Sus scrofa: one gene and its partners. The protein of the gene in region 1 interacts with the protein of each later gene in a pairwise test. Links are inferred from orthologs where the notes say so. Each region holds a gene or a part of one and is shown on either strand. Other genes may lie near its edges.

What was found.
Region 2: the proteins of PPP1R16A (region 1) and PPP1CB interact in binary tests that used the Homo sapiens proteins (3 or more experiments, as listed by UniProt). The two-hybrid records come from large-scale screens. The link is inferred for Sus scrofa from reciprocal best matches to the Homo sapiens genes PPP1R16A and PPP1CB.
Region 3: the proteins of PPP1R16A (region 1) and TPP2 interact in binary tests that used the Homo sapiens proteins (3 or more experiments, as listed by UniProt). The two-hybrid records come from large-scale screens. The link is inferred for Sus scrofa from reciprocal best matches to the Homo sapiens genes PPP1R16A and TPP2.

What each region holds. Positions count from the first base shown.
Region 1 is NC_010446.5:306,509-310,151, reverse strand, and holds part of PPP1R16A (protein phosphatase 1 regulatory subunit 16A), read left to right. Parts: exon of another isoform or gene 1-146; intron 147-2,497; 5' UTR 2,498-3,218; coding exon 3,219-3,477; intron 3,478-3,643. UniProt on the Homo sapiens protein: Inhibits protein phosphatase 1 activity toward phosphorylase, myosin light chain and myosin substrates.
Region 2 is NC_010445.4:110,471,502-110,475,918, forward strand, and holds the start of PPP1CB (serine/threonine-protein phosphatase PP1-beta catalytic subunit), read right to left. Parts: upstream 2,888-4,417; 5' UTR 2,876-2,887; coding exon 2,824-2,875; intron 1-2,823. UniProt on the Homo sapiens protein: Protein phosphatase that associates with over 200 regulatory proteins to form highly specific holoenzymes which dephosphorylate hundreds of biological targets.
Region 3 is NC_010453.5:70,984,513-70,988,155, reverse strand, and holds part of TPP2 (tripeptidyl-peptidase 2), read right to left. Parts: intron 3,550-3,643; coding exon 3,433-3,549; intron 3,193-3,432; coding exon 3,092-3,192; intron 2,259-3,091; coding exon 2,162-2,258; intron 1,663-2,161; coding exon 1,525-1,662; intron 200-1,524; coding exon 1-199. UniProt on the Homo sapiens protein: Cytosolic tripeptidyl-peptidase that releases N-terminal tripeptides from polypeptides and is a component of the proteolytic cascade acting downstream of the 26S proteasome in the ubiquitin-proteasome pathway.

The DNA of each region.
Region 1 (3,643 bases):
AAAATCGCCGATTGCCTCGGAGGCTTGGGGCAGGAATTGCGGACGGAGGCCGTCGCCACCCCGGCCGGCCCCCCTCGGCCCGCGCGGGGCACGGTGGTCGGCTGCTGAGACGCCCAGCGCTGTCCCGGCCTGGGGCGCAGCTGAGGGTGAGTGTTCCAGCTCTGGGGCTGTTCCTGGACCAGGTGCCCAGGAGGAGGCGGCACTCGGGGAGCAGCTCGGGGGCACGAGAGCTTGGGGTTCAGCCTTGGGGGAGCTGGGTCACGCCTTCCATGGAGAGTGTTGCAGGATGGGTTGCCCACGGCAGTGGGGTCCTGGGCCCCCCCAGGGTCACCTCTCTCTCAGAGGAGGCTGTCCAGCAGCCCAAGGGACCCACCCAAGGTCACACAGGGGCCCCCTCTGGCATCTCCCAGCAAGGAGTGCTGCTGACCGGGCCCAGAGCGGGTCGGGGCCTTCGGGAAGGCAGACCCACCAGAGCAGAGGCCTGCGCCCAGCAGGACACCCGCCTCCTGGGTGTACTGCCCGGGGCGTGGGGCCTGCAGGCAGAGGGTCTGGAGCCGGAGCCCTGTCCTCCCAGTGCGGCCACGGGGCAGGGCCTGGGGCTGGCCAGCCTGCTCGAGGCAGCTCTCGGATCCCCCCTGAGAGGGATTTTCATGGGTGGCCTTCAAAGGGACAAAGCACAACAGCTAGAAAAGACAGCGTCTGTTCTGCTCAACAAGCTGGCGGTTACTCTAGGTTTTCTGTAGGATGCGGATACCAGAACCGCTTTTCTCTCATAAAACGATAGTGTGGGTTATGTCCCCTAAATCTTGCTAAATTAACAAAGTCGGGCTGTGGCTGTGTCACTGGTGCTCATCTGGGAGAAGTGAAACTAGTCCCTGAGGCCCTGGGACCCCACTTTGCTGGGGAGCCTCGGCCTGAGTGCGGGGTGGCCTCCTCCATGGGTTGCCTTCCCCGAATGGCTGGAGAAGGGGTCATAGGCGGGGCTGGCACTGGGCAGAGGGCAGCGTGCTTTGCTCCTTCTGTGTGGTCTCAAGGCAGGCCGTTCGGGCTGGCTCCCCTGGCAGGCCCAGATGCTGCCTCCATAGAGAGGACAGACCCCTGAGTGGGCTGGAGGGCAGGCCAGCTCCCCGCCAGGGAAAGTGAGGGAGCCCGTGAGTGGCCAGGAGGCAAGGAGATCCTTGTGGGGGGCGGGAGCTCTGCCACGCCCGTGTGGCCTGGCACCCATGGCCGTCCTCATGGCCAGAGGGCAAAGGCAGTACTTGGGATCCGGGCAGCCCGTCTGGGTGGCAGTGTCCACCACGGCCCCAGTGATGTGCAGAGGCAGCCAGCTGGGGACAGGCTGTCCCGAGCGAGTGCTGCCTGGAGGCACTTCCTCGCCCCAGGAAGCCTCTGAGGCCAGGCCTGCAGAGGGGACAGACAGGCCGGGGCAGATTGTAAAGCCCCCCACCCCAGCCCAGTACGGGGGGTCTTGGAGCTAGAGACACCTGACCTGACCTGATCTGGAGCAGGGCAGTCCCTTCCAGAAAGAAGGGGTGCTCAATGAGGTCCCCGAGTGAGGTCTGGCCCAAGGAAGGCTCAGGAGGAGCACCGATGGCCCCAAGGTCTGATGGTGGGAAGGGGGCTCCAGGGACGCAGGCTGGGCTGCAGGTGGGTCTTCTAGGTGGACAGGGCCATGGCTTCCTGAGGGGGGGCCTGCGGCCGCCTAGTGATCACACCCGGGGTGCTGGGCAGGACAGGCCACGGGAGGTGGGGGTGGGGGGACTGCGGGGCTGCGCCTCAGCCTAGCTGCCTGTCTGTTCTGACAGATCCTGAGGCAGGCAGGCACCTGGGCCTGTGCTCACCCAGCCAGGGCCTGGGTTCCAGCCCAAGATGGCTGAGGCAGCAACCGGCCTGAGCTAGAAAGCCCAGCGCAGACGAGGCCCAGACTCGGGTGGCGAGGCACTGGGTGCAGGTCAGGACAGGCTGCGCCTCCTCCCTCAGCAGCTAAGATGCCAGGAGGCCCCTCTGGGCAGTGTCAGGAGAGCCCGGGGAGAAGGTGACTGCCAGGTCAGAGGTGCTGTGGGGACAGGGCCAAGCCAGGACCTGAGGGCTGCTGGCAGTGCCCCCCTCTCAGCTGCAGAGCCTGCAGACCCCTTTCTGGGAACACTGACGGCGTGAAGCAGAATGGCGGCAGAGCAGGAGTTCCCACTGTGGCTCAGCGGGTTATGAAGCTGACTAGTATCCATGAGGATGAGGGTTTGATCCCTGGCCTCGCTCAGTGGGTTAAGGATCCCGAGATGCTGTGGCTGTGCTGTAGGCCAACAGCCGTGGCTCCAATTCCACCCCTAGCCTGGGAACCTCCACATGGCCACGGGTGTGCCCCTAAAAAGAAAAGAATGGGGGCAGAGCAAGCCCCCTCCCCTCTGCCCGAGCGTCCTGCAGCGGTGCTCTGGCCAGCAGGGCGAGCCTCATGCAGGCTGGGGCCCTGCCCTGACAGCTTTCTCCTTCCTCTTCTCAGGCCGTTGGCAGCACCTGCTGTCAGGGAGGCTGTCCTGAAGACACAGTGCCCACCGTACCCTCGCTCTCTGGCTGCTTAGAGCCTCTCCCCGGCACTGGGGCCAGGACCTCCGAATACACCCCCGCCCAGGCCACCCAGCTCCCCCTCCAGCCACACCGCCTCACTAGCACTGACCCCAGGAAGGCTGGGGGCACCGCGGGAAGGCCAGCCATGGCTGCCCCCAGAGCCCACCCAGGCTCCTGAGGCCTGGAAGGCAAGGGGAGCTTTTAGGAGCCCAGGGTCCTCTGCCCATTGCCCTGGCCTCCCTCCACCTCAGCGAGGCGCCTAGGAGCTGCCACTTTGTTATCTAGGTAATTAGCTTCAGACCCTGGACCAAGGCCAGCCAGGTCCCGGACTCTTAACCACAGGCTGTGCACCCTGACCCGGGGAGGCCCTGCCCGCTGAGCAGCCGCTGTGCCAGGGCCCTGGGAAGCAGGCTGCAGGTGCCCGCCCACGCTGCCCTCTCTGCCCAGGGCCTGTGCCCCTCATGACTGCCCAGGCCTAGTGACGGGGTGGGGCCTCCTGACCCAGCCTTGCCAGGGGCAGAAGGCACCCAGGCTTGGGGAGGGGATGCCCCCACGGGTACCCGTCCAGCCAGCTGCCCCACCCCTCAGGCCCAGCCTGGTCCCCGCACTCCCCCGTCTGGTGCCCCCAGCAGCCCACTTGCCAGGCAGCCCCCGCCATGGCCGAGCACCTGGAGCTTCTGGCAGAGATGCCTGTGGTGGCCAGGATGAGCACACAGGAGCGGCTGAAGCATGCCCAGAAGCGACGCGCCCAGCAGGTGAAGATGTGGGCCCAGGCTGAGAAGGAGGCCCAGGGTAGGAAGGGCCAGAAGGAGCGGTCGCAGGAGGAGGCAGCCGGTGGCAGGCGGCAGAAGCGGGTCCTCTTCCCTCCCAGCGTTGCCCTTCTGGAGGCAGCTGCCCGCAACGACCTGGAGGAAGGTGAGTGGGGCTGAGCCCCAGGCCATCCACGGCCCCGGCCCCGGCCCCTCACCCGGCTCAGACCCCAGAGGTCTGCCTGCCTCACAGAGCCCCAGGTCTGTCCCTGCTTCTTCAGCCCCTGACGCCTGGTGGCCGGTGACCTCAAGGGGTAGCCCTCACGGCGCGG
Region 2 (4,417 bases), on another chromosome or scaffold:
GCTGAGCCACCACGGGAACTCCTAGCTTCAATTTAAATAACCAGTCAAAAGCACAAGCCACAAGAACGTGGTACCAGGATCACTAAAGGGGACAAAGTGACAAGCATCTTTGGCTTCTTAGTAAGTAAAACTTACTCCAAGAAAATACACTAGAAGAATATGCATTATCCAAACAATAAATTAGTACACTGTTTTGCATTAAATAATAAAACATTTAAATGTAAAAGATACTGAAAATTTACATAATTTGCCCATCTAAAAAACACAAAGCAACTCAAAAGATTACTACAAGTTTTGTAGCTGACTGCCAATATGACATAATTTTTTAAAAAGTCAAGAATGCATTGTGGAACTACAAAAAACATTTTAAAGTGTTCTGTTGATTTCTGCCCCAATGCAGAGAAATTTAGGGCAAATTTTAATTTGTACTTTCATTTAATACTAAAAACAACAACACCACCTACAGCTATTCTGCTAGGCAGCTTTACTTGAATTTGAGTTAAATTTAGTTAGCATGTAACATCACTGAAAATCAAGGCAGACAAAAAAGATTTTATTTGAAGACTAAAAATAATTACTTATTAGAAAATCCAAGCCAGTTTTTGGATGTCTTTGAATAGGTCTAGATTTTGGAAAGGGGAATAAGAGAAGCCTGAAGAATTTAAGAATCCCAGGGAGGCACTGTCAAAACTAAATATACTTCCTGGGATTAAGAAGCAAGTAATGACATTCTTCACTGCCCAAGAGCAGGCTAAAAAAGCCGGAAAAGTCCCTTGTTTGGATTTGGGAGTTCCCTGAGTGAAGAGATTGTCTCTTATCTTTGGATTCCTGGTGACTGGCACAAAGCAGGTCAATAAATGTTTGCTAATTTAAAAGGAGAAAATGTCTGGACTAGAAATCAAGAAAGAAGGAAAGAAAGGGAGGGGAAAAAAAAGGAAGGGAAGAAAGAAATCATCTGAAACCAGAGCCGAATATTCATGTAATTTGAATTCACAGAAACAAATTACTTAGCCTATTTCCCCCATGATACCTTTTTTCTAAAAACCCCTGAAAAATCCACTAGTGAAGTTTCTTAATTAAATCATAAAAAGGTGCATCTGACAAAAGGCCCCCTGTTAAATATTTCAAAACACTTAAGTCTACTGTGTTTTATGTCTATTAAGTATATAAATATGTAAATATATGGAAAATAAAAGTGAGGAAGTTGAGATAACAAGCATCGGATTTTCAAATATTTCAATTTTACAAGCTAAGTTTAAAACGTATAAAAGTTTTTTGTACCAGTTGGTGGTGGGCATAAATATCCCTCAAAGTTAACAAGACACTAAAAATTTTACATAGCTGTATTTCCCCCTTAGAATAACGCACAGCTACACACACACAAACAAAATGTTTCCCCCAAAGCAAACGTCTCGTGGACCCAGTAAGATGTTCACATCTGTTAAAATCCGCAGTCTTTAACAGTGAACACGGACTGTAGGCACCAGGGGGCCTCCCAAGAATAACTTGATAGCAAAAGGAAAGGCAAACAAGAGTTCCCTGTAAAACTTTGCTCCTTATTCAGTCTTACGACTGCAGGAAGGCTTTTTACTCAGTCTTAGACTGCTGGAACGCTTGCACATCTGGAACAAATATACTGTAGTTTGTTACACAACGGTACACACAGAACTGAAGAGATACACACATGGGCGGATAAAAAAGAACTAGCGCCCTCTCCGCCGCCCCTCAAACATATAATCTTCTGTGAAGATTTTCCAAATGTAAGCACACACTGCTTCACTGTACCAAACACTTATCTTCAGGAAATTTGAAAGCAAGTAACAATGCACATGCAACCCTTCCACGCTTTCTGAGAGAGGACTCTACATTTTTTTCTTTTAATAGCTTAGTTTCTTTTCTACACACTCTAAAAGCAGTTTAGCGATGACGCAAACTTCAGGGCAAAGGGATTCACTGGCAGAAAATCGCGATTGACTTTGAGTAACATCCTGGCCGCTCCATCTCTTCTCTTTACCCTAACATAAAACTATCCAATAAAAACAGAAGGGCCCAGAAACTTCAAAAGCTGTGAAGACTTGTAAATATCTTTTAAACACAAGCGAAGCTTGACAATCGACCTTTTCTAAGTTTATGCAGAATTTAAAGCCTGCTCAAACCTGTTAAATTCTCAAACCCGAAAACCAAGCGCTTCAGTAAACATGTCTACATATTTCGTATTTCTTGCGTGCATCTTCAGCTCGCTCAAATACTTTTGTTTTACTCATTTTTAAAGCTAAATAATAAATGAAAGCTACTCAACTCCATCTTCTCCTTAAATAGAGCTGGTCCTGGAAGCATCAAGTAAAAAATGCAGAACAGATCAAACAGTTTTCTCAAGGAGAAGGTTTTATAAAATCCACTCCCAGAACAAGAATCGGAGGCAGCCAAGGGCAAGGCACAAAGAGAACAGAGAAGGAATACACTTTCCACCGGCATACAAAGCACAAGAGCACGCATCCTGGCACCCTCTTTGGGAAGGGTCACCCAGCAGCCCGGGGCTCCTCTACCCGCGTTCGGCGCGCCGCTGTGCGGGTCCCCGTAGGTCCGCAGGGGCACTGCCCGCCCGCGGGGTCAGCCCCTCTCGCCCGCCTCACCCCCACCCCCCCACCCCAACCCCGGGCCGTGTTCCCGGAGCCCGCTTCCTCCGGCCCACCAGCTTCTTAGCCCGCTCCTCGGCGGCCGCCCTGGGGCGGGAAAGGGGGTTCCCGCCCGCTCCGGTTGGCGGAGGAGGAAGCAGGGCTGAGGGAACCTCCCCTCTCCGCGGCCGGCCAGGCCCCGACTCACCCTCCAGCAGTCGGGTGATGAGACTGTCCACGTTCAGCTCCCCGTCCGCCATCTTGTCGGCACTAGACGCTCCTTCCCGGCCGCGGGAACAAGGGCTTCTCGGCGGCAGAGGCTGCGGCGACCGCTCGGCGTTCCCTCACCTACAAGTCACGCGGCGTTTCGACCCCGGTTCCAACTCCCCCTTCCCCCAGGCCCTCCCCCACCCCCTCCCCACCAAGTAGTGGAGCGCCGCACACTCGGAGGCACACACGATAAATAAATAAATAAACAAGCGGAGCCCCCACGAACCGGGCCGCGTCAGACCCAGCCGCCACCTCCTCCTCCTCGGCACCGCCCAACTCCGCAAAGCTCACCAGCGCCGCCGACGGCCCCACCCGCAGCGCCACTCACTCCACACCGCCCTTCCCCGCCACCGCGCCACGCAGGCCTCCGCGCAGCCGCACGGCGCACTCCTTCGCGGCGCCCCCCCCGTCCGCCAGCCGCGGCGCAATCGCACTAGACTCGGTTCTGCCGCCGCCGCGTCGCCGCCTTTGCGCAGGTGCGTCGCCTTCCCTCTCCACTTCCACTGCGCCGAATCGTCGCGGCTGCGCAGGCGCCCTCAAGGCTCCCGGGGGTTTGATGCTCTGGGAAAGCTCCCATTACGCAGGGCGCGCGTAGGCAGGGCTGACCTTCCGCTTCCCAGCTCCCTGAGGCTGGGCGCTCAGCAGACGACGTAGTTCTTGTGCTCTTCCCGCCTCGCCTTTCTTTTCTTGGTTTCAATCCTGGTGTTGCAAGCCAATTCCCGGGTCTTGTTAGGCGGGAAACACAGACTGCATTACCCATGTTTGAAACTGGATTTGCGCGTTTGGGAAGCAAGAATGGGGTTACTCTGCTGGAAAAGCTTGACATTGCAAATGAGGGATTTTTACCCTACGGTTCCACAAGGTTGGTTGCCCTGGTGTTCCTAGATGAAATAAATTAAATTGGGCCCTGAGGGTCAGCAGTAATAATGTTTTACGTGGGAACTGCTTTCTGCTCTCTACAGAGCGCTTTCACATAGCTTACTGTTTTTCCACAGTGTATTTTTGAGCAAGAAAAAAATACCTTCATTATATTGCTTCATCATCGTATCTTATAATTGTTGTTGCATTTTTATCTCCTACACTCTACTGTGAGCTGCTATAGGGTAAACTAAATTTATCTTTGTGCCTGCAGTTCCCACTAAGTATCTGGTACGCGGAAGAGAGGGACAAGGAAGCACAGAGGCTCAGAACAGTTCGTTGTTCACCTCGTCTTTCTACCACATAATTCTGCCTCTAGAAATACAGGAGAAAGAGTAGCCACGCAAAGCTTCTAGGTAAGCGAGAGTTTTTTGGCCCGTTCTCAGAGGTGGTCAGATGGGAAATCTTTACTCATTCCTCAGGTGTTTGTCCACAAAAATCAAACAAGATGCTGTCTCAAGCTCAAGGCAGTGCTGCTCCCGCTCACCTATTGCTAGTAATAGCTGACATTGATGAGATCTTTTTATGTGCTCTGGCGTTGCTTTATTTATTTATTTGTTTATTTTTGCTTTTTAGGGCATATCGAAGTTCCCAGGCTAGGGGTCAAATCAGAG
Region 3 (3,643 bases), on another chromosome or scaffold:
GTGGCAATGTCAAGTTACTTGATTTCTTCTTCCCTAGAAGTGCAAGGCTATGATTTTCATGAATATCTAAGCTCAAGGTATTAGACAACCTATGAGAAACAATAAACGGAAGATCTTTAAGACGCTCCAAATCACTGATTTGCTCATGACGAATCTGTAGTCGAATTGTATAATCTCCTTTCTCCAGTTTCAAAGAATACTACAAAAGAGAAAACATTTGGGAAGAGTTTAGCTGGGTAAGTGAAAATTACAGTCAGAGGATAAACAGTAAGAATTACCACTTACAGGCTGCTTACGGTACATGAGGTTCAGGGCCAGTTACTACACCTACTTCTACATGCACGTGGTCTCGACTGCAGGGAAGCAAGCAGGACCTGGGGTGTCAGGTAACCTGGCCAAGGTCACGTACAGAGTAGATAAGGGGGCTGAAGGCAGCTCTGGCTCCCAAGCCCTCATTCGTCCCACAACAGGCTACTCACTCCTACACGCCAAGCTAAATCCCTGTCTGCTCAAGACTGATAAAGGCAAAGATTTTCTAGTTCAGGGGTCTTCATGGACACGTATAAAACACCACCAAAAATTAGCAAAACTAAGGTGCTGTGTATCCAAGACCAACATACACACACATATGACTGATAGGCTTTGGATTATAATCAAAATGCCACACCCCTCTGCTGCAGACAGGAAAGAGGGAGCCAGTGGGGATCAAGGAATACAAATCCACCAAGCTCCGTCTAGTTAACCTGCTCAAGAGGATGGAACACTGTATTCTGCAACAGCAGTTTCTCCCAAGATCTTAAAAGCAACCAAAGTAGTAATGGCACTGTAATAATCCAGTCTGTACTGAGGAGACATGACTGGGCCTCGCTTTGAGGAAAAAAGGAAATTATTCATCGAACGACTAACTAAAAACACTCTGCATAAATTACTTCTATTATTTAGCATAAAATTGTGAATGTCACAGGAAATACCTCATTTCTGTCATAACACTTTAATCAGGGATAAGATTTCTATAAATTACATGATTAAAAGATTTGTTTTTCCCTTCAACACAACAGTGACAGGCACAGTGCCTGGCATACACTAAGTGCTCACTACACAGCTGACCAAGAAGAAATATATTTCAAAGTTCTAATAAACTGTAGACACCTGGCAGGGTCGCCTTGTTCTGGACCCAGTTCAGTCATGGGATCGCATCGAGGTACTCATATATCAGGGTGATTTGCTTTCAGCGATCAGATGGGAACAAGCACCGGGTAAGAAGGAGAAATACTAAAAATAAAAGCTCTGCCGGCCAGCACCTGCGAGCGTGACCCTGGCGCTCCTCGAGCCCAGCGCCTGATTCAGCCGAACTGTAGGCTGAGAAGCCGTCATGGTTGTTCTACAGCAGACGGCTGGGCCACGAGCAGCGGCTCCATGCACCAAGTGCACAGCCACACCAGCATTTCAAACCAGGGACGTTACCCCACCAACCACCTGCAGTGTACTAGTTCTGTTAATTCTGAGTCACTGCCCACTTGATACCTGATGAGGATAGGCATCGCCGGAACCCATCTGTCTTTTGTTCTGGTCAAATATAATCCACAGCTGGCTGTCAAATTCTGACTCGTATAATAATTCACAAAGCAGGGGGCAGCTTGGAGTGACCTCCCCACTCTTGGGCTGTAAAAGAATAAGACTGATTACTTGACGTGGTTTATGCGGTTTCTTTTTTTTTTTTTTCTTTTTTCTTTTTTTGGCTTTTAAGGGCCACACCTGCAGCATATGGAGGTTCCCAGGCTAGAGGTCCAATTGGAGCTACAGCTGCCAGCCCACGCCACAGCCACAGCCACGCCAGATCTGAGCTGCGTCTGTGACCTACACCACAGCTCACGGCAATGCCAGATCCTTAACCCACTGAGCGAGGCCAGGGATCAAACCCACAACCTCATGGTTCCTAGTCAGGTTCGTTAACCACTGAGCCACGATGGGAACTCCAGAATAATTATGTTAATCAGTGTTAATTACTTGATTCTATGTCATATATGTGTGTATACAAACACTAAATACACTATTCTTTCATTTTTGGATTTTATGAATCATAAAACAAAGGTGATTATAAGGGTACATATACTTTATTTATTTATCTTTTTAGGGTATACTTGGTTATACAAACACTTACTTGATGAAAGTTGTATGTCAGGATCATCTCATAGAGCTGACGATTATTTGGCAAAACATCTCTTGATCCTAAAGGCTTTGTTTTTGCACTCAGTGGACTGTAATCAGACAATTGCATAAGATTCAAGAGTTCACTTAAATGAGACAAAACTATAATCAGCAAAATCTGTAACATATCACAGTAAGTGACAAATGGACACTGTCACTCTGCAGTACATGCTATAATATTTTAATCATTAACATCAACGTAATTCTTTATTGACAGAACCACAGCAATACATAGTGCTCAATTTTACAGTATTACAAAGGTAATCTTCTTCTTCTTCTCCTTTTTTCTCTCTAGGGCCGCGCCTGGGGCACATGGAAGCTCCCAGGCTAGGGGTCAAATCGGAGCTGCAGTGGCCGGCCTATGCCACTGCCACAGCAACGCCAAATCCGAGCTGTGTCTGCAACCCACTCCACAGCCCATGGCAATGCTGGACCCCCCTGGACACTAGCTGGGCTCCTAACCTGATGAGCCACAGCACAAACTCCTAAAGGTAATCTTTTCATGATAAAAGCATTTTCAATTGTCAACTAGAAGTCCTGACATTATCAGATCCCAACACTAGGGCACTCATCCCTAACAGTGCTGAAGGTCAGGTTTTGTCCACAGATGTTCCTGCCCTCACGCAGGAGGGTCCTGCCAGGCGCCATGCCAAGGGCTGTATATGTGTGTCACTGAAGGCTTGAAGCTGGGGCTGGGGCTGGGGCTGGGGCTGCCTCTCGGAGACCTGCTAGGCCTCCTGGGCTGCAAAGTCATGAACTGAGTTTTCAGCTCCAGTCTTCACAGGATTAAAAAAAGACCCTTTCCAAAGAGGGAAGAGATCCCCTCCCCCCGCCTCCCCCACAGCAATACCCAACATCTGCAGCCCTAAGACAGTTAAGATACCGTAGCGTTTGGACCCAGCTCTTCAAAGTTATGCAGGGAGCCAGATCTTCATATTTCAGGGAGGACTGAACATCAAAACGGTTGATTCCCTCTGATGCATGCTACAAAGGATAGTTATCACATGAGTTGCTCAAACATCACTGAAAATAAACTGCATTTTTAAACAATACTTTAACCTAAAATAAATGTGTCCAATGCAGTTTATAAGCACCCATAACAAGGACTAGTGTTCTTTTAGAATCATAGGTCATTTCCCCATTAAAATTTAAATCCAAGCACTGAAATCACTTCATAACAACACAAATAACTGACGTTAAAAGTTAAGGAAATGTGAAACTTACGATGTTTAACTGAGGAGCAGTACATACTATCCCGTGGAAGGAAATGGTATAATCAATGTTGACGTCACTAAGACTTGCCCACCAACGAGCAATGCAAAACTCAATTGCTTTCCCACCCTGCAAAGAAAAATGAAATAACCTATAAATGCGTAAACCCCTTTTCTCGTTTGCCTTCAAATCACAAGACATAAATAGCTATTTCAAAGCAGTT